Linked DNA regions of Drosophila melanogaster. The gene in region 3 interacts genetically with the main gene of each other region. Each region holds a gene or a part of one and is shown on either strand. Other genes may lie near its edges. The genes, in order: Taf3, pb, Antp and lab.

Region 1 (8,034 bases), on a different chromosome or scaffold from region 3:
TTTAGTTTCCCTGCATCTGTCATCTCCTTTTCTGAAGACGAAAATAATGTAGATTTTCCACTAAGTTTTAGTGTTAGTTTTGGTATTTGATTTGGAGATATTCCACTTGTGGCGGCACCTAACGATGGATTTATTGTCATGGAACTTGATTTCAATACAGGTTCATCGTTGTTAGCTAAAGGCACCTTGTCAAATTCTTCTGTGTCATCTGGTATATGGACTAAAATCTAAAATAAGAATTGATTAAACTATAAATTTAACTTTAAAAGATTTTGCTGAGATATGTGTATAGACTAAAATAAAATTTGTAAGAACTAAAAATATAACTTTAAAAGATTTGGCTGCTTTACATGTTTATGTAGGATTAAGATGTTTTTGTACCTATACCAAGCTGTAGGCTTCGATGTTATAATTAGTCACAACAGTCTATATAAGTATTAATACAAATTTGGAACATAATGTATAATGTATAATGCATAATGCATAATTTAATGTTATTATACGGAATATGTTCACAGAATTCATGATTTTAAAAATGTTTCCCACATAACTTGCTGTTTTCAAATGAGTTTGTGTACGTACTTATCGCAAAGGTTGCTTATCAGCTCCGGCGTATCTACATATCTGATCCAAATACCACAACACGAACACCTATTTTTTTATAAATAAAGAATTGACACAAACCTGCTTATCTTTATCCTTTTTCTTTTCTTTTTTTTGCCTTTTATCATTGGCCTTTATTTTCCGGTCGGATTTGAAAGATGGTAAGCCAATCTGATCCGCTTTCTTTGATTTGTCCTTTTTCTCTTTCTTTTTTTTATTTTTCCCTTCTTTAACCTTTTTTAGCTTTTTGTGATGTTTCCGCATTTTCGGTTCCAACGACGTTAATCCAGTTGGTGTTATTGTAATATCTTCGTAGTTAGAAAAGGTAGAAAAAATATTGTGCTCTTCTGAAATTTTGATTTGATTCGGTATGGTTCCACCTAAGCTACTGAATGGTACTATTTTGGAGGAATATTCCGAATCACTCACTCTCGACAGAGGAATAAGATCTGCTCCCCCAGCTAAACTGAATTTGTCACCTCCCATAAAATTAGGCAAGTTAAATTGTGGAAATGATGAATGTGAAGCTGGCGTGTGGGGTACGCTTTTTACATCGGGAAAACTCTGTTTAACAAGTTTTTTAAATTTTTTAAGTGGTTCGTTAGAGCTTAGAGACACAATATTCCTTAGATCCATTTTGGATTTTTCTTCACCATTAGATGCAGCTGACGTAAACGAGGAGGGATTTAGTTCTGCGAAGCTGGTTTTAACATAAGTTGGTGATGATATTGGGGTTTTTCTTTGAACCATCTGCCTGTTGTGCATTGATTCATCTGAATCATCTGAAACCTCTATTGGATCATCAGGATTTCCAGAAGCCTCCAAAAGCGGTTTCGTGTTTATTTTGCTTGTAGCCTGTGCAGATGGGTTTTCCAATATTGTGCTGGCACAAGATACGCTTTTACCTACAGATATAAGTAATAAGTTATTTTTAAATTACAAATATATTTACCGTTAAACTTACACTCGGCGAATTTCATTGAGTCAGGTACTAATGGAGCAACATTGCAGTAGTTTCGATCCATTTGCAAGTCAGTTTGCGTGGAAGATCGGCTCAGAAATTGATCAGAATCAGTAACTAAAAATTATTTTTTCTAATCATTATAAATATTTAAATATTTTGGTCGACAAATAATTCACATATTGTAGGTAGGTACGTATTGTCAATATAAAAAAAAAATTTGAGCTCCTCCAAATATCTAGTTTATGACAAACGCAAATATTTCATACTAACCCATCTAGAAGCTTCCCAATACCACTTCTTGAGTGTGTACCTATACCTATTTTCTACATTCAACGGTTCAATGATTAGTTTCAGATTAGTATTTTTGCTGTAATGAATTAAGATATTGCCGAGACTTTTATGTAAGCAATATATTCTTCGAGCTGTGATACTCGAACTGGTATGGTAAAGTAAAGTTTGGGTCAACAAACTTCAGCTGGGTTTATGTCTCTAGAATCTTTATGCTTAATCTCAACCTACTAGCTTTTTATAGTTCATGAGATCTCGACGTTCATACGGACGGACAGGACAGGATCAGATCCACTCGGCTATTGATCCTGGTCACGAAAATATATACTACGTATATATACTACGAGCAATGCGTATAAAAATAACTCATTTGACGTACCAGGAGAATCCTTAATTGGTGGACATCGAACAGTATCCGCAACTGATTCTTCTGGTCCAGGATAATCTATGAACGGCGAAATAGGTATTCTGTTACCGTGATTCCCGAAGCCAACTAAACCAGTGACTGCAGGAAAAAGCCCAGGTCCAGTAGGAATAAGACCAGGTCGTGGTGGAAATTGCAATAAAGGAAGCAACGGAACCATTCCTGTTTGAATTCCAGGGTAAATTGATGCATTTGACAAAGCATTGGATATAGTCACAAATTTATCTGAACATTGTACATCATTATTTTGTTTTGTGGGTCGAATAGAATTATGTAGTGTTGATGCCTTTTCAGGAGAACAGCTCTTGTCTAATTGCATTACATTTTCTGGTAATGATTTGTACTTTTTTCTGTCCTTTTTTTCTTTTGCATACAGGTTTGACAAAAAATTATTCGAGGGCTGTTCGGTATTACACAAGTTGAGAGGTTCTGTTGGCGGGGAGACGTTTAAAGAACTTTGGGTTATTATCATTGGAGATGATGATAGAGGCAGTGTAATAGCTTGGCTTGACTTTTTCCGTTCGACCTTATTAATTAAAGGTTGCGATACAACATTTGTTTGTTTTATTACATTTTTTCCTCCAGGTTTGCGACCTCGCTTTTTTGGCTTTGGCGAATCAATAATTGACATTTCAACGCCTGCTTTAGTTAAAGGTATAGTTCCATCGAATATATTGCAAGGGTTGATTTTCATACTCGGAACGTTTTTGTTTTCAGAATTTAGACCAAGTGAAGGTGTAGGAGTTATAGTAGTCCCCGATGGAAGACTAATTAATGCTGAAGGGGTCATTGTGCTTCCAAATACAGATACCCCGGTTCCAGGAGGTACTAAAGTCGCCCCAATATCTGGACGTGGAGTACGTGGCTTAGAAATTTTCTTAAAAATGTCCAATTTACTTCGTTCTGGTTCTGATCCACTTTTTTTTTCTGCCAATAGCACTTGCGTTTGTTGAATTACAGATGGCTGCACTGGATAAATTGAATTTCGAAAATTATTTTCAATCTGGCTTGTTACTGTTGGCGGCTGACTAGGGATATCAGCTTGTAAAGCATTTTCATTTGAGTTAGCTTTTATGGCAAGGCCGCTCGTAGTTTGAGAATTCTGCAAAAAGTGTTTTTCGTCGATGTCCAGTTGAAGATCATTTTGCTTAAGTTTGGACTGCTTCTTAAATATTTTTTCTAAATGTTTTTTATTTGGATCGAAGGATCCGCGGTTAAATTTTTTTTTTAACTTTTTCATGTTTTGTATTTGATTAATTGAGCTGTCTCTTTGGTTCTTTGAGGTTTGTTTATACATTTTTAAAGCTTTTCTCTGTGACTTTTCCTGAGCTTTTTCAAACGGATTAGTTAGAAGTTCGCTTTGACCGGGTTCGCATATTAAATCATGTTTCTGTTTTCTATTCTTCTTAGGTGTTGTAACAGTTAGCATCGTATGGTTGTTAGACGCATATATTATTGAAGACTCTGAATGTCCACTTGTCAATAATGCAGCATTTTGTTTGAAGATTTTAGTTTCTGAGGGAATGATTTTTCGTGGATTTACTGTTTTGTCTCTGTCAGAAAGCGCCAGTTGTGGAGATTTTTGTAACGAATTTACAATTATCGTCGGTGAAAAGGGTGCATCCAAACCTAAAAATTTTTCTATAAACACCGATACATGAAAATTTATTAAGCTGTGGTATAAGGATAGGTCGTACCAACTATATCCGGTATGATATCTTCGGGGAGCTTGCCTTCAATAGCTGGACTTATGAATCCCCCTGTTGTCATTACCACGCTGCTCATTTCGCGGACTGAGCTCCCAACGTCCAATTCAAAGGCATTCGACCGGAAATTTATCACAGTATTAGGAGAGATAGAATCAATGTGCTTGGCGCCTAACTTATCAGCTGCGTTTGTTGAACTATACTCTGCTTTTGAACAAAACTCTTGCTTTTCCGAAAATTCCTTTTGAACATCGGCTGGAATTTCACGAAGTTCGGGGTCCTGCATTGGTGGCAAGTATTCAAATATGTAGACAGGTCGCGTTAGAGTTTCAGCGCTTCCAGGCTTAAGGAAGTTCATGTTTACAGATTTTCCAATGGGAAACTGTGGTACATCCCGGATGAATCCAACAGGCTCGACATTACCTATGTAGTCCAATAGTTCTTGAACATTGATGCTGAGATTTTTTATACTTAAGCGTGCATCCTTAAGGTTCGGCTCTATCCGATTTGCTAAATTAGTAATATATATACTTGTCAATTAATATTTTTATAAATTTTATCCAAATAAACAAAGCATTTTTGATTTTTTGTTTGGTTTTAATAAGATTTTTTTGAACTCATATAAATAACGTTATTAAGTAACATACCAAGCAAAATTAAAAAGAAAATATAAGAGAACGCTTTAGTCGAGTTCCTCAACTATTTATTTTTATTTCTGTTCCGGTGGTTACAAGGAAGATATATCTTAATCTAAGATATATCTTAATCTAAAATATATCTTAATCTAAGATATATCTTAATCTAAGATATATATAAATCAAAGATTTATTGTTTTTTTTTTTTTGGTGTTTACAAGACAATTAATGAAATAATAATTTGCAAAAAATACAATCTACATGCCTATTGAGGTTTCATAATCCCCAATCGAGACCCCGGCAGTCCCACAATTCATCGCTCCTTAAAAACATCCCAAGATCATCGGTTTCGCCCACAGTACCAACTGCTTTGGCTGCACAGCCACAAGCAGGGAATCAGCAATAAATTATGGATCTTTTATTTCCAGCCGAATGCTAAGCTGACGCTCTAAGTCGCCGAGCACATAAGTTTCGTAAGAAACTTTAAATTTTTAATGCGCATCGGAACTAGAGAAATTATATACTGATGTAGGTGAAAGGGACTGGGCGAGGAAAAGGGAAATAACAATAAAAGAAAGAAATAAATTAAAAGATTACTTTTCTAAGAGGCACGCTTCCTTTTTCGCGGATAACTGGGACTAGATTTATGCGAGTAGCAGGCGCGAGCTTAATCAGGAAATTCCAATGGCAATGGATTCATTTTACACGCAACAACACGTACTACTCGCAGAAGCGATGTACATTTTTCGTAATACATTTCTGTACACATTATACTAATATATTTTACTTTAAGGTTAAACGGACAGGTTGACCGGTATTCTAACGCAACTGAAAGCAAAATGCCCTAACTCCAAACAAAATTGTTTTAATGATAAATAATGATTTATTAATGATAGTCTGATGGAACTGCAGGGATGATAAGTTATACATTTATGTACATGTACATATATGTCACATACTTTTTATTGAATCTCTTATTCTACAAGTAACGACTATAACTACTCAGGCTTTGTTGTATTTCATGATCGGTTCCGTTGATTTGAGGGTCTATACCACTTACCGTGTTCCATATGTCTATGCATGTCTCGAGCGAACTCCTGTACAAACTTCTGCAATATGTCTTGCAACAACTCCAAGGGTGCACTTAGAGTGCAGCTGTAACCAATAGTTTGCGTTATCTGCGCAACGACAACAAGGGCCAAATCTGAAGCGTATCTGTCTGCCATCATGTTCTTTCATGAGGTACACCTTCTTTAGAAAACCTTGGAAATGCTGTGAATAGGTTTAACCGTCCCACGAACTTCCTCTTGTTATTAAAATTAATTGACTTGGTGTCTACACCTTTATTAGACGAACTACAATCTGTGGATGTTTAGTTAACGATAACTTATCGATTTTGCCTTTGATGGGAAATATATCGATATTTGGGGTATGCCAAAAGTGGTAATCATGGGGTTCAATCAAATTCAATTGATTGACCAACATAAACAAACTGCAATTTTTTATGTGGTTTGAAAGTGGTTATAAGGGCAGATAAAAGGTTTGCTTTCGGTATGTTCGCTGTTAGTGTTCGAATAAGACACAAATTTTGAAAATAAGACGAAAAAGTTTTCTAATCCTTCTATTCTTTAAAATAGATATTGAACGATGGAAATATAATTAGAGCTTGTTTAATAATAGAGCGCTTGAATGCAGAGTGAAACGAGAGTCTTGTGTTGTTACCCGTAAAAATGTTTTAGTTTTACTACTACTATTACTATTATTACTACGATTACTTACTACAAATTTTAACAGCATCTAATGTTATGTTTATTGTGGAAAGAAAGTAATGCCCAGAACAGCTATGAAATTACCGAATAAATAATAATATAATTATAAATATAAATAATATATATAAATATAAATTTAATAAAATAACATTAAGCCTAAAATCGCTTCAAAAATATCATGTGAACTATATCCCAAACATGTGTATATATGCAGGTAATTTAGTGGAAAGAGGGTATAATGTATAATGACACAAAACTACTGATAGAATACTAGTTATATTTTCGATCAGTTTAGAAGAAACTTATATCTTAAGACATTTATTGGGTTAGGTATTGTTTCCCATATATGTTCTAGTCGAGTATTCACACAAAGAAGCGTGCGACAGATCTTCGGCACTTAATATTTTGTATTTGTAATAATGTAAAATATAAAAATTAACAAATAAAACAACTATATGAACATTTGCATGTGTTGGGTATATGTGTAAGTCTAATAAAAAGTTTTATTCTACTTAAAGCTCAAATCCTTTAAACTTTTCAGCTAGTTATTGAAATACTCAGTATAAATGAGTAAGAAGATCTCCATCAACATTGATCTGACCAACGTTTTACTCCTTTTTTAATCTAATAAGAACTAAAAAATGCAACCATTGAACTCGAGCATTGATAAAGCAAAACATTTTTTCATAGAGAGCGGGATCTTAGGACCCGTTAACTTTAAATATTCTCATGACATGATTCGGAAGACGTCTACCATTCACATTGACGAAACTCTTAAGAATCAGGTAAGGGTGGATAATCTGATTCCCAACGAATACACGTTTACACCTATGTTAACCATAATAGGTGTATAGGTATCGTATTTCCTTACATATACTGAAGATTTCATATGCAGTCGGTCAGTTATCGAGTAACTGGTTAGTCCGTCTGACTATCAATCTGAACGCTGTGATCTCGGGAACAATGAAAACTAGAATATTGATATTAAGCATTAAGACTCAGTCACAGAGTCTGTAAGAGTTTGTTTCATGCCGTTGCGACGCTTGCTCCAACGACGACGCACCCTCAATATTCATACGGTCACAAAAAATCAATCAACCACTAGCAAAAACACGAATACACTTCAGTGCGCAGATTTCTCATTTTGCGCATAATGTACGAGCTCAAAGAAGCTGGAGTCGAAAAAATGGAATTTTTGAAATTTAAAAGCTGGAATCGTTTGCTCATTTGTTGTCTTTATTTGCCCACGTTTGGCCACTCTTTTCAATTTTGAAAAAGTGAATACTTTAGAAAATATGAGACGTTCTAGTTAACCTCGGTATTATTATTTTGACCATCTCTTAAAACTAAATATTATAAAAAAAAACTTTTGCCCAATCAGTATTCTTAGTTTTTATCGTTTGTCCATCCTTTAAAATTAGTTTTTTTCGTTTTCCCATCCTTTAAAATAAGTATTTTGAATTAAAAACGTTTGTCCAACCCTTAAAAATTTTGTTTTTTTGTGTTCCCACCTATTAAAACTAAATTTCTACATATGTATGTAATAATTGTAAGTTGTGGCGCCAATTCGCATGTTTTAGGATCGGCGGACAAATTCACATATGTACTTATATGATGATGATGAACATGTATATACATATCCAAG
Region 2 (4,621 bases), 260 kb from region 3:
ACTTTCTTCCCAGTCGAGCGAAGATCTTCAAAAGGACGACCAGATCGTAGAGCGTCTCCTTCGATATGCCAACACAAATGTGGAAACAGCTCCACTCCGGCAGGTTGATCACGGTGTCCTGGAGGAGGGTCAAATTACACCACCCTATCAGAGCTACGATTACCTCCATGAATTTTCTCCTGAGCCCATGGCTCTTCCCCAACTGCCCTTCAATGAATTCGATGCTAACTGGGCGAGTTCATGGCTGGGCCTTGAGCCAACGATTCCTATCGCAGAAAATGTAATTGAACACAATACACAGGATCAGCCAATGATACAGAATTTCTGCTGGGACTCGAATAGCTCTTCTGCTTCATCGTCGGATATTTTGGATGTTGACTATGACTTTATTCAAAATTTGTTGAACTTTTAAATATATCTTTGACTATATGTTTAGGCAACTGTACATACATACATATATAATCATTGTATTATACGAGCAATATCTTTCTGTGACTACATTATTATTACTTATTTTGGATGAAATAAAATATGTTTTATAATTAATGTGCGCATTTATTTGTTCAAACAAAAAATGCTGGTTGTGCAGCATTTGGGGATACATTTTGCGGACTCGATTTTCAAAAATTTCACCACCAGACAAATCAAATATTTTTAGACAAAATTCCATTTTAGTGGGCGATACAGTTGAGAAACTAAATAAGCTTGACTTGTTAAAACATTTATTTATATGATATTTATAATGAATGGCCTTGGCTTTTTATTTTACTTAATGCTTCCTCAAAGTTTCTGTATTTTTCACACATATATCTTTTTCACAATTTTAAACAATCTCATGGTGCGCATCGTCATTACGTAGACTGCCGATCACATAGCTCCCTGCTGTCAGACAACTTGTTCGTCAGAGCGTCCAAGTACGAACACCACCCCCAGCTGCAGTGCAAAATCGTGGCAATATTTTTACACCTGTAGTGACACCCGTGTGCATTAAAATCCGCACATAATTACAAACTCTGCGCGGACTGGATTGGAGAACGTTAGCAAAAAGAGGGCGAAAAAGCGGCCAAAAGGCAAAAAGCAATGCCACCAAGATTGACAGGAGAAGAGGCGCCCAAAACAAAAAGAGCGATGAGCGAAGCAAAATGTCAAAAATACCCATAGCCGAAAGCCAAAAAAGCCGGAGAGCGAGAAACTCGCTACTGTGGCTTTTTCTTTTCATTTTTTAGCAGATGCGAAATGTGTAAATAAGAAAAACCAAATAAATTCCGTCACAAGCAACACGTTCGCGTTGGAAGTGGAAAAAAGTGAATGAGGCAAGAAAACGCCGCGGAAATGATGGCCCAAGATACAGGGGTTCCCGAGCTACACGACCGCAAAGATACAAAACAAACTGCCGAGCCGGCCAATCAGAGGGCCGGAGACTTGTGCGCCGGTGTGTGTGAACTCCACCCCCTGGTCTCTGCGCGTAATGGCTATAGTAACCAGTTTCCAGATGGCACCGCGCATGTGCCGACCAGGAAAAAGCGTGATGGATGCGGTGGCTGTCGCTTAGGCCACTCCTTGATACTGGGTCCCAAAATCCCAGTTCAGTGCGTTCGGTGCTATTGGATGGAATGGTTGTTGGCTGCTATCTAGCTCTCGGGAACCGCACGAAGCTCCCCAAAAGCCCTCTGTCTCGCTCTCGCTACGAATCGGTTCGGTATCTAAAAAATAATATTTATTAAAATGACAGCTACAAAAATAGTTCAAAAATTTTGAAAACTAAAAAGTGATATTATTAAAACGAGTTGAAACCAAAAGTTTTACTATACGGTTGAGAAGCACTTTAGGAACCCCTGGAAACCCGGTTCTGCGCACCTCTTGAAGGCCAGAGAGGGACAGCTAGTGCCCACATGTGTATGAGTGCGAGTGGAGAAAACTATCTCAGACGAATTGCAACGACTGAGTGTGTGTCTGTGTGTGGCCATTGCAGCGATCGCAGCGACTCTACAAAACTCTACAAAATCAACACATTCCGCATACGCACCGTTGTACAGCGCGTACTTGCACTATTGTCGTTATCGCCGTTGTTTCGTCGGTTGTGTTGGCCTTTCGCGTCGCCATGGCTGCCAAAAGGTGTGTGTCTATGTCAACCTGAAAGCGAAAAACCAACTCCAAACACCACTTGACGGTTGAGCAAACACAACGGTGGCCATATTTACATTCGGATCTGGGTTCCCTCGCTCTCGTCGCGGTTGTCGCCTCTTTTCGCGGCCCACAGATAAGCCCTGACACACTGAAGTTTTACGCAAAACCCGCATCGCAAAAGTTGTGCCGGTTGAAACTAAAAAAAAAAAACAAACAAAAAGTTAAGCCAGTTACTATGAGCGAGTGCAGACAATAGTGAAAACGGTGACCCAAGTGATACCGGTGAAATTTCCACAAAGAACGCATATGTCAACGTAAGAGGAGAAATATGGAATACTGTGGTCTGTAAATGATCAACTTAATATGGTACGAAATTATCTTACACATATTTCTTACCTACATTTAAAAATAAGTGTATCCTTTTAAAGCACGAGAAAATCAAAGCGTGTCGTTATTTCGTTTTTGATACAACATGTTAGTCTAAAATACGAGCCTTTTAAGTCGGCAAAATGTTTACTGCAAGAAATATTTCAAATCTTTAATTGGCGGAATCGGAAAATATATTCGAATTTTCTTATTCATTTATACTTCCTAGGAAATTAGCTATGCGGCATTTCTTAGATGAGGATATGTAACAGCTTTATAACTTTTTCTGTTTAAAATATGTTAATTTATTTACTGACTATTAATCCTTAAAAAAATAATGTAAAATAATGTATGCGAACCAAGCCAATTTAGGTAACATTGTAGGACAGGTTGTATGTATTGTACATACATACAATACATATTGTCAAATCTCAATCGAAATTAGGTGGCCATAAATTTAAAGTGAAGGCCTAACAATTTCTATAAGAGCAATAGTAAAAATGCAGACTACAAATGAATTTCTGGCACAGAAAACTGAGAGACTAATGAAATATAAATTGGAATATGTAATTTAAAAATAGTCAAGTTTTTGACAGTTGCAATGTGAAAAATTGGATCGGTAATAATAAAATAAACATTGATTAGCATAGTAAAGTGACGATGTTTTTGTTTCTTAAAATGTTAATGAAGATAATGACATATCTTAATGAAGTATATACGTACATTATATTGAAATTATATATATTCAAAATATATAAATAAAAATTCAAAAATTATAAATATAATAATAAAATAAACATTGAATAGCATAGTAAAGTGACGATGTCTTTGTTTCTTAAAAGGTTAATGAAGATAATGATAACATATCTTAATGAAGTATATACATACATTATTCAATTTCACATTCGATAAGAACAGTGAAACCTCTAACTTCCTGGGAACTGAATCGTGATAACATTATTATGAGATTACAAAAATGGCTTTCCTTTCCAGGTTCCCAAGCTGAGGAACATCTAATACGCTCAGGAATTGAAATAGAAAGAATCTAAAAAAAATTATACCCAAGCTATGCAAGAAGTCTGCAGCTCCTTGGACACGACCTCAATGGGCACCCAAATCAAATCGGAATCTCCACTCAACCCGCTGCAGGTGCAAACTGGACAGACGTCCCTGCCAGTGGGTGGTTGCGGTGGTGCGGGCGTCGTGGGTGGTGTGGGTGGCGTGGGAGTGAGTGTTGGTCAGCCTGGTATCGGACAGCAGGGGGTGCCACCTGTGCCGTCGGTGCTCATGGTCAACAAGATGACCCCGAACTGTGATAAACGGAGCGCGGACACGGCCTATTGGATGACAGCATCCGAGGGCGGGTTCATCAATTCGCAGCCGTCGATGGCTGAATTCCTCAACCACTTGAGTCCGGAGAGTCCCAAAATCGGAACACCTGTTGGATCCGGCGCCATTGGCGGAGTAGGCGTCAACGTTAATGTCAATGTCGGCGTCGGAGTCGGATATCCGGTTGGCGTTGTCCCTCAAACGCCGGATGGAATGGACTCGGTGCCGGAGTATCCCTGGATGAAGGAGAAGAAGACATCCCGCAAGAGCAGCAACAACAACAATCAGGGTAAGTCCACATGCACATTACACTGGGGGAAGCATAAGGTTTTTAATTTAGCGATCGACCATGTCAATTTGAACACCATTCTCTGAAGAATAGGCGATAATCTCATCAGTCCATCTCAAACTATTGAATCAATCAAATAAAAAGTAAGATATTTTTATAGACACTTTTCCATATCAGTTTAGACCGGAATCAATTGGGTTCTCTTGTCCCGGCCATTTTTTCTTGCCGTGTACTGGCTGGTGAAATGCGAAACTCTCATTAATCACGAGCTCACAGAAACCTAAAGACTCCAATAGCGCCAATTATGCCACTACGAAGTCCCTCTGGCACCTGGTTTCGAAGTGATGAAGAAAGAGCCAGTGCTTTCGCTGACCATTTACAAAATGTATTCCGACCAAATCCCTCTACCAACACATTTATTCTCCCTCCTTTAATAGCAGCCAATCTAGATCCTCAAGAACCCTTTGAATTCCGACCATGTGAACTAGCAAAGGTTATCAAAGAGCAACT
Region 3 (4,560 bases):
ATTAACCGACTCATGTCGCCATCTATCAATGGGGGCTTAAATATAATTTTAATTTCAAAGGCAAGTCAAACAAGTTTTCTTTGTGGTGGTCGGCTGTTTTCGTTGAAGCTTTTTGTTGGATTCGTTTTATTAACAACAATTTCGTTTACTTTTGTTGCTAAGTTTTGGGCTTTCGGCCGAATCTCAGAGGTCGTGATTAATGTTTTTACAAAAGAGTTGTCGCCATTGGTGTGCTGATGTATAAATCTTTTTGCTGCTTTGCCATGAGTGTGAACTTGATTAAGAATCCGTTTAAAAGGAAGTGGTTGCTCATGTATAAGGGTCTAAATATGTTAGTAAAGAATTGTAGGACTTAAACAAAAATAGTCTAGGGAAATGTGCGTTTTCATACAAATTTTGAATATTTTCCCCCCATTTCTCCCAATTGCATCGGTGTTTTTTCTGTCTGTCACTCGGCCATAAATCATAAAAGTTTTTGCCGGGCAAACAGAACGGAGTTTATGATTTTGTCAGCTGTGTAACATTTCCAGCTGATAAAATCAATAAATTATGAGAAAATAATTTCATTTGATGCCATCTATTTGATTTTGCAAAAATCGAAGCTGGCAAAAATGCAAATGGAAATGTGTTAACGATAAGCAGGCTGAAAGTAAAAGCCAGGATAAGTTCATTAAAGCCCTTTTGGACAGATCGCTAGAGATACTTTCCAAATTATGGAACAGATTTTTAAATGTTTATTAAATTACGAATAAATTCCGCACCTCTGTGGGGCGCAAGTGCAATGAGAGAGCGGGAATGGAGAAAGAGAGAAAGGTAAAAGGTAGCGAGCGACAGACAGAGAGGACGACAAATATGCAAAGGCCAGACAACTAGGACAACAACAAAATCAGCAACAACAAGGACAATGCACTGCAACAATGGCCGCATAAATTTTCTATGCGGAGAACCCGAGAGTGTCCTGTTCGTCCAACTATGTGCGTGTGTGTGTGTGTGTGTATGAATGTGTTTGCGTGTGTGTCTGAGAGAGAAATGGCTGCCCTTTCCCACCATTCGGAAGTGAAACTATGTTGCCCAGGATATGCGCAATAATTCAAAAACGAATTCCAAGTTCAAAGAGCCCATTACTCGTGGCCAGTTAAGTTCGGAGCTCCGTTTTCAGTTTTCCAGCTTCAACTCCCGGGATTCCTGAAAGCATCCCACCACCCCTCCTCCCACTTTGCAAATTTATGCAAATGGCTAATAAGCCTGTCAACAGTTTGCAGTTTGCAGGCCAAATGAGTGATGACCTGGCTGTAGCTTCCGAAAAACGCCCTTTGAGTTATGAAGTGTTGAATCTGAGTTCGGGCAAAAAACTTATACCTTGCCCACTGCACATCGAGAAACAGATGCGCTATTCTTTGTACAGAGTCATTAATGTCAAAACTTCCACATATTTAGACAAGTATTTGGAAATGTATAAAGTTTCCGTCGGCATATACATAGACTGATATTCTAATCCATGTAAGCTTCATTGAAATGATTGATTTTATTCAAACATTTAATGGACAGCTAATAGTAACATAATATACTTATGTCAACCATTTTTTCAAAAATAATGTTAAGAGAACCTCACAATCATTTTTGTTTAAAAATTATATATAATTTTTAGTGACAATCGAATAATTCTTTGACGGTATGCATAGATGACATTACATTACATGTACAATTACCTTTGCAATTATTTAACAATATTGATTTTTTACTACAATTTAAAGTTAAGATTTTTTCTTCACTTTCAGTTACGATTATTATTAAATTGAATATTTGAAATAGTTTGGATAGGCAGAAATAACATAAAATTTGTAGTAAAATATAATTATAATCAATTTAAGCATTGTTTTCAAAACGCATTAACCATTTTTGTGAATAAAGACATTTTAATCCCAATTGGCCAATAAAAGAAACATATAACCATTTTGATTTCAGTGAAGAAGGTGAGGAAATTGAAAAGTCGAGCCCTGGCACTTACCTCTTAAATCCAATAACGTGCGCTTATCCTTCAATCCTGCTGGCTTTTGGAATTCTCAGCTAACGGTAGCTTGCACGTGCGCCAAAATAAAAAGTTTGCCCGCAGTGGAATCGAAACTTTTTCCGCTCCTTATTCTTTTCCGTTTTATGTATTTTGTTTTTTATTATTTATTTTTTTTTTGTGTTATTTTGGCTGTCTACGTTTTATTTCTGTTGAATTTGTTGTGGTTTGAGTTGAAAGCTTCAGCTTTTGTTTGTTGCTAGTGTGTAGATATTGCTCGATTTACGGGGGACTAGAAAACGTTGTTGTACAGATTCGAGTTTTCGGTGCACGATGCGTTTTTAAGAATAGATAAACACTTAGGTAGTAGGATTTGGCTTGATAAATTTGAACTCTAGCTCATTTGCAGCACAGTCAGCCCAGATCCATTAGTAGTATTGCACAATATGTGGATGAATTTTAATTTGAATCCAGACACCTGCCAGACACTCGAACATCATAAAAAGAAACGCGCGCGAAGTTCAATTCCAATTTCTCTGACGGTGTTTTTGTTTGCTGTTTATGCGATGGCGCCTGCGATTACAATTACGATTACGGTTACGATTACGGTTATTATTATAATAATGGGTTTATGACGATCTGCGCCATGCGATGGACAGTGTGCGACTGATTGCGGTTCTAATTTTTTACGATTATTGTTATGATTATTTTTACGGCCTTTATGATCTTAGCGGGCTGACAATTGGGATAAGAGAGCGGTCGCGACGACGGAGAGCGAGCGAATACGAATGCGAATAGTTCAGTTCAGTTTAGTTCAGTTCAGTTCAGCTCCGAGAGCCCAGCCCCAAGATATTGGCCGCTATAGCGACTACGGAATACGGGGCACCGAATACCGTTATGCTGCTGGGATCCCTCTCGCACACACACACATACAGTCGCACGTGGGCTAAGTCAACGGAACACGGACGGGTCCTCGAGTGCTTTGTTGTGTGATGTTGATTTCTTTACGACTCCTATCAAACTAAACCCATAAAGCATTCAATTCAAAGCATATACATGTGAAAATCCCAGCGAGAACTCCTTATTAATCCAGCGCAGTCGGCGGCGGCGGCGCGCAGTCAGCGGTGGCAGCGCAGTATATAAATAAAGTCTTATAAGAAACTCGTGAGCGAAAGAGAGCGTTTTATTTATGTGCGTCAGCGTCGGCCGCAACAGCGCCGTCAGCACTGGCAGCGACTGCGACCGCGACAGAGGTCCGATTCTGCTTCTGCTCCGGTCATAAAGTATTTTGCAAAAGAACCGTTCTGCTCTCGTTGCCATTTTGAGTGACTGAGAGAGCTGAGCGAGTGGGAGCAGCGAATTGGCGCCTGACTTGAGTTGACCGGCTTGAGTTGCCGGCCCGAGCTCGCTGAGCTGCAAACTGTAGTCAGTCTTCAAAAGAAGATCTTATGATGCACATCCAGTTATTTTCGATTATTCAGTTCCCAGATTTATTTTGGTTGGTATATTTGATTTCACTTTTTTATTAGGTTTTTAAGAAATTTGTTTCATTCATTTTGGTTTATTAAATACAATTTTTTGCAAGGTTCAATTTTAAGTTTCTTTCTCTTAAGTGCTCTTTTCAGTTTCTCTAAAATCGAAACTATTTAAAATTCGATTGTCTGGGCATTATCGAGTAGTTTCTACTTTTATTTCGAAGAGCGATTACTATATCTTTATAACTTAATATCTTTATACCTTTTTAACCATTCTTCTGGACTATATGGTCAATCAATTCATTTGCTTTTAATTTCTTAAAATAGCGTAACGATGTGAAAGATGTGTACATCTTCAGTTTACTTGTTTTTAAATTTTTGCGGTCAAATCTACCATTTTGTGGGAGACCACCTTCTATAAAATCAATTAAAATAATTGTACAATTTACAAATACGGTTCTCTAAAGGCCTTGTGTTGACTTTTTAGTTTTTAAAGTATCAATCCGTCGATTACTTCAGACTGAATCATTAATTTACAAACTCATTTATTTATTTATTTTACCAGTGAAAATAATCTAAAATAGGGTTTTGCAATGGAAAGGTCGAAAGTTTCTGTTTGCCTATTATGTAAAATAATTGTAAATTGTTATGCTGCTTAAGTACTTATAAGAGTAAAAAACGTTTTTGATTTCGATTGTCTCGATTTTTTATCTTTTTTAGATGTTCTTAATTAACGCTTATAGATATGGTATATAAACGTATAAACGTATCTTTTAATAATTATTTTTGTAAATATACCACAACCATACATAATTAACAGTTTTGTATAGCAAATGTGATTTGCCCGATGAAGTCATATCTAGACGTTTTGATATCTCATTATCGGCTAACATTCGATAATCGGGAGAATGATGGCCGCCGTGAATTATGGAACCCGGAATACGGTACTTGGAACCGGGGAGTATGGCATCCAAACATCCACTTGCCGACGGCAAAACCATCATGGCCGAGTTTATATCGAAGCGCGCCAACAACAAATCACATGCACGCACACATGCAGGCCATCACTCACACGCA
Region 4 (4,754 bases), 320 kb from region 3:
GCTTGGAATCGGGATTGGGCCGTGGTATGTTAGTTGTATATGTACATACATATGTATGTGATTACTGAAAGATACTCGCACACATCCTGTTACTATTAATTGCTGCTGTCCGAAAATATAACAAATCACCTTGGAGCGTTGGGCAGGACCGCCCGAAAGGACGAAACGAATGGCCACTCCAGCCGACCTCCCCCTCCGAAATTCCCCGTGCGAGTGTAGAGACAAAAACTTGTGAAAATGTCAATCAAGTTGAACAAAAAACGAAAAATTCCCAATCCGAGAGTGGAAGGAGCGAACCTCGAAGTTTTCCAGACAGCCAAAGATGATGCATTGTGCGTGAAAGGTGCATGAAGATATCTGACGGTTGTATCTCTATCCCTGCCAAGTGACAGACCCATACACCGGATAACTCTTAGGGGGCGCCTACGAATTGCATCCCACTGAGTCAGAGTCAAGGTCCGGAGATAATGTCAGGATTCGGGGTCTGTCGGGGTCGGGGAAGTCGTTCGACGACGATTTAAATTCAACAGTGCTGCCATAGATGAGCTGTCATATGTGCAAATGACGATTGACAGCTGCCACAGTCAGCATCCGTTTGCAGCTCCTCCTGGTCGCAACCCCGGTCCGCTCCCAAGCCGAAAACCCATTCCGAGTGCCCGGTTCGCATTTCCAATCCCATAGCAAGCTCCTCTTCTTTACCTGTCCGTCAATTCATTTGGGAATTTCGAGGTGCTAAAACGTGCCAAAACCGCAAAACAAACACACAACATTGGGTTTCCAGTTAAAACAAGACGTCGACATGAGCATGGTCAGGGGCGTAACTTTCAATACTATCAGCAGGCGGCAGGGGTGGATTAACTTGGACACGAACTGGGCCCAAAACATGTGCGAAAAGATTTTCGGGGCGAAGAGTTGTCTACTATTTAGTATTAATAAATACACATTTTATAAAGAGAATTTAATTACACTTGAGAAACCATTCAGATACTTTTAACAGAGAGTACTTTAAATAATACCTATATAAGGAATTAAAAACAATAATAACAACAACAATTTTTTGGATTAGAGCATAGTTTTGAATTAGTTTAAATTAGAAATAAATGGTCTTTATATTTCCCGACTTCCATATATGGCGAAGAAGACTTCGAGTAAAACTATTATGATGATAAGAAATAGTAAGTTTTTCTAATTGGCATACGGGAAGTGAATTGTCAATTGGATGTTTCAAAACATTTTAAGTAAGATCTAGAACAAGTTTCTTTAAAATGCTTAATGTTCTTAGGTGGACCGACGATCTATATAAGTGTTTCCCATTAATAAGGATCATTTTAGAGATCTGATCATCCCCAGCCAGTTCCACACCAGCTCATTGCATAATTTCAAGTTCCTTCATAGAACTCCCATCTTGAGTAGCCGTCAATCCGCTCCTGCCATGGCGACTAGCAAAAAAAAAACGAGCAAACAGGGAACGAGAAAATCTAAATGGAAACGGCAACTGCCAAAAACCGGTAGTTGAAATACGGGTATTTGTATATACGTATGACTAACCCCCGAACCACTGATAAGGGCAGTCATCCGAAGAATCCCAGGGAGCGAGCGAGACGGCAGTCGCAACACGTATGTAGCACACACGAGAGGAAGCGGGACCACAGGCAGTCTGCAGAGGGGCGTGGCCAAGACCAGCGGTTGTGCGGTCTGAAAGAAACCGGGTTCGGGCCAGTAATCAGTCACGACTTGGTAAGCGCGCAGGCAGCACGTCGTCGTCGTCATCGCCAACGGGAGTCGTGTTTTTCGGTTCGATACAGATAAAACCCACGTCGATAGCCCTCGACCGTCGCGTAATATTCTTAGAAAGCAAACAGCTAAAGAACTATTTCAAGAACTGTGTGGCAAGTGAAGGGTAGTTAGTGATACACCGGTTATATCGGAGTGGCGAGAAAGTGTGGTTCCGGCTGGACAATATGATGGACGTAAGCAGCATGTACGGCAACCACCCGCACCACCACCATCCACATGCCAATGCCTACGACGGCTACAGCACCACCACCGCGTCGGCGGCCAACGCCAGCAGCTACTTTGCTCCGCAGCAACACCAGCCCCACCTGCAGCTGCAGCAGCAGCAACAGCATCAGCATTTGCAGCAGCCCCAGCAGCACCTCACCTACAATGGCTACGAGAGCAGCTCCCCAGGCAACTACTATCCGCAGCAGCAGGCGCAGCTGACACCACCGCCCACCAGCAGCCACCAGGTGGTGCAGCAGCACCAGCAACAGCAGCAGGCGCAGCAGCAACAGCTCTATCCGCATTCGCATCTCTTTAGTCCCAGTGCGGCGGAGTATGGCATCACCACGAGTACGACCACGGGAAATCCGGGCACGCCGCTCCATCCTAGTAGCCACTCTCCGGCGGACTCCTACTACGAAAGTGACTCGGTGCACTCGTACTACGCTACCGCCGCAGTGGCCACAGTTGCTCCACCCAGCAATAGCTCACCTATTACCGCCGCCAATGCAAGTGCCACCAGCAACACACAACAACAGCAGCAACAGGCAGCAATCATCAGCTCCGAGAACGGGATGATGTACACCAACCTGGACTGCATGTATCCCACGGCCCAGGCTCAGGCTCCGGTTCACGGATATGCCGGCCAGATCGAGGAGAAATACGCCGCCGTCCTGCACGCCAGCTATGCACCCGGAATGGTGCTGGAGGATCAGGATCCAATGATGCAGCAGGCCACGCAGTCGCAGATGTGGCACCACCAGCAACATCTGGCAGGCAGCTATGCCCTAGATGCCATGGACTCGCTAGGAATGCACGCCCACATGCATCACGGCCTGCCCCACGGACACCTGGGCAACTTGGCCAACAATCCGCATCAGCAACAGCCACAAGTCCAGCAGCAACAGCAGCAGCCGCACCAGCAACCGCAACATCCGCAGAACCAATCCCCAGCGGCACACCAGCAGCACCACCAGAACTCCGTGTCGCCCAACGGTGGAATGAATCGCCAGCAGCGCGGGGGAGTGATCTCCCCGGGTAGCTCCACTTCCTCCTCCACCTCCGCCTCGAATGGAGCACATCCTGCCAGCACGCAATCAAAGTCGCCAAATCATTCCAGCAGCATCCCCACCTACAAGTGGATGCAACTCAAGAGGAATGTTCCAAAGCCTCAAGGTAAGTTGAGCTAGAAAGTAAACTCGGAATAGGGTTTCAATGGTTGAAACAGGCTCAAATTACTACGTCCCGAATGATTTTATTCCGTTTTTCTTTCCTTAAATAATCGAATTTTTATTCCCTTCTTTAAGTATTTTAGAATTATATAATAAATAAGGTAAATATAATAGAATACTGACACAAAAAAATGCTCCTACTGATATATTCTCTAAATAAATCAGATGAATATATAGGGTTCGGTTACTTTAAAAAATTGAATTCTCTTTATTTATTTTTAACACTGATCAAGTAGTCGTTTGATATTAAATACCTAATTAAATGCTAATTGAAACTATTGCAAATTTATATTCGTGGACATTTCGAATGACGCGAGTTGTAGAGGCGTATAGTGAAAAGGTCTTGTTGCAAATTTAGAACCAATAGATTAACCCAAGTCGTTTTATCAAGCGCTACAATTGCCTTCTTTCCTTGTGAATGGATACAAATACATTTAATTTGTGCAATTTTTATTCAAGTTGTTCGCACATTCGCAATGTCTGCATTCTAAGGGCAACTAAACGCGTCTCATTAGGCAAAGTCTCTGGCAATTAAGAAACCGCATTCTTAGCTAATTGCCATATTTTAACTCTTATAGTTCTCTAAACTCGTATAGTTCGCTCAATAGATCACATATAGCTTACGGAATGTATTAAGTTAATCGGACAGTTATTATGGAAAGAAATACACACACTTCTATACATACGTATGGTGATTTTTTTAAGAAAAGCATAAGAAAGAACCTCAAGTAAATACCAAAAAGCGTAAAACGATGACTTTCAAAACTGATTGACAGGCCAAGATACAAGAATCAGTCAACCAGTAAAACCAGAAGAAGATGAATAAAACTGTGAAAGAAATGACGTCGAACGAGCAGATTAAACAATATTATGAGTACATTTATAAGTTAGAGAACTTGGCCATCAAGAATAGATTGATCATAAGTATGAACAATTAGCACTGCAGAAATATTAGCAAACATAAAACAAGTGGATGCGTCAGACAAAATGTCAAGAAAGACGTCCAACCGAGGGCATGTCACCTAAAAATATTCCTGTCTCTTCAAATGCCAAAGATTTCGCCCACCTCTGCCCTCGGCTCTACAGCCCCCGGCTACAGAATCTCGATTCTCCCCGACCTCCACGCCCCTTTCCGCCTCTCATAACTGTCGCCGTTCTCCTGGACTCTCCTCCTTTGGCACATTTCTTGCATATTTCAGATAATTTTGTCAATGCCTGTGCAGAGTCAGTCAGGTTGTTACTTGTCACATTGGCGAGTGGAGTTTTGTATCTCGGAATTAGCCAGCTAAGAAAATGTATTCGCTTTGATAAAAAAGATCAGAAAAGTCCATATTGTATGCGATAAATAAAACGTCGTCGATTATCCAAAAGAAGCAGCTGCCACTGAAAAAACGAGTATTTTTATTGATACTTCGTGAATTGCATAAAATTCGAGCGTAAGCCTTTAATTGCTTTTCAAAGAGTTTGAGGTCAGTCGAATAAATAAATAAATAGCAACTAACTGAATGGGGGGGCACAGGT

What was found.
Region 1: of Antp (region 3) and Taf3, changing one enhances a phenotype caused by changing the other (phenotypic enhancement), as found in Drosophila melanogaster (one study listed by BioGRID).
Region 2: of Antp (region 3) and pb, changing one suppresses a phenotype caused by changing the other (phenotypic suppression), as found in Drosophila melanogaster (one study listed by BioGRID).
Region 4: of Antp (region 3) and lab, changing one suppresses a phenotype caused by changing the other (phenotypic suppression), as found in Drosophila melanogaster (one study listed by BioGRID).

The regions. Positions count from the first base shown.
Region 1 is NC_004353.4:460,821-468,854, forward strand, and holds the start of Taf3 (TBP-associated factor 3), read right to left. Parts: upstream 6,009-8,034; 5' UTR 5,850-6,008; coding exon 5,681-5,849; intron 4,496-5,680; coding exon 3,977-4,495; intron 3,921-3,976; coding exon 2,235-3,920; intron 1,682-2,234; coding exon 1,568-1,681; intron 1,509-1,567; coding exon 685-1,508; intron 594-684; exon of another isoform or gene 228-593; coding exon 1-227. Other genes in the region: CG33941 (uncharacterized protein), read left to right, coding at 7,031-7,174.
Region 2 is NT_033777.3:6,739,040-6,743,660, reverse strand, and holds the start of pb (proboscipedia), read left to right. Parts: upstream 1-1,597; 5' UTR 1,598-2,493; intron 2,494-3,486; 5' UTR 3,487-3,561; coding exon 3,562-4,111; intron 4,112-4,621. Other genes in the region: zen2 (zerknullt-related), read left to right, coding at 1-412. UniProt on the Drosophila melanogaster protein: Sequence-specific transcription factor which is part of a developmental regulatory system that provides cells with specific positional identities on the anterior-posterior axis. Controls development of mouthparts, and labial and maxillary palps.
Region 3 is NT_033777.3:6,996,198-7,000,757, forward strand, and holds the start of Antp (antennapedia), read right to left. Parts: upstream 3,032-4,560; 5' UTR 2,009-3,031; intron 1-2,008. UniProt on the Drosophila melanogaster protein: Sequence-specific transcription factor which is part of a developmental regulatory system that regulates segmental identity in the mesothorax. Provides cells with specific positional identities on the anterior-posterior axis.
Region 4 is NT_033777.3:6,675,554-6,680,307, reverse strand, and holds the start of lab (labial), read left to right. Parts: upstream 1-1,717; 5' UTR 1,718-1,961; coding exon 1,962-3,177; intron 3,178-4,754. UniProt on the Drosophila melanogaster protein: Sequence-specific transcription factor which is part of a developmental regulatory system that provides cells with specific positional identities on the anterior-posterior axis. Required for proper head development.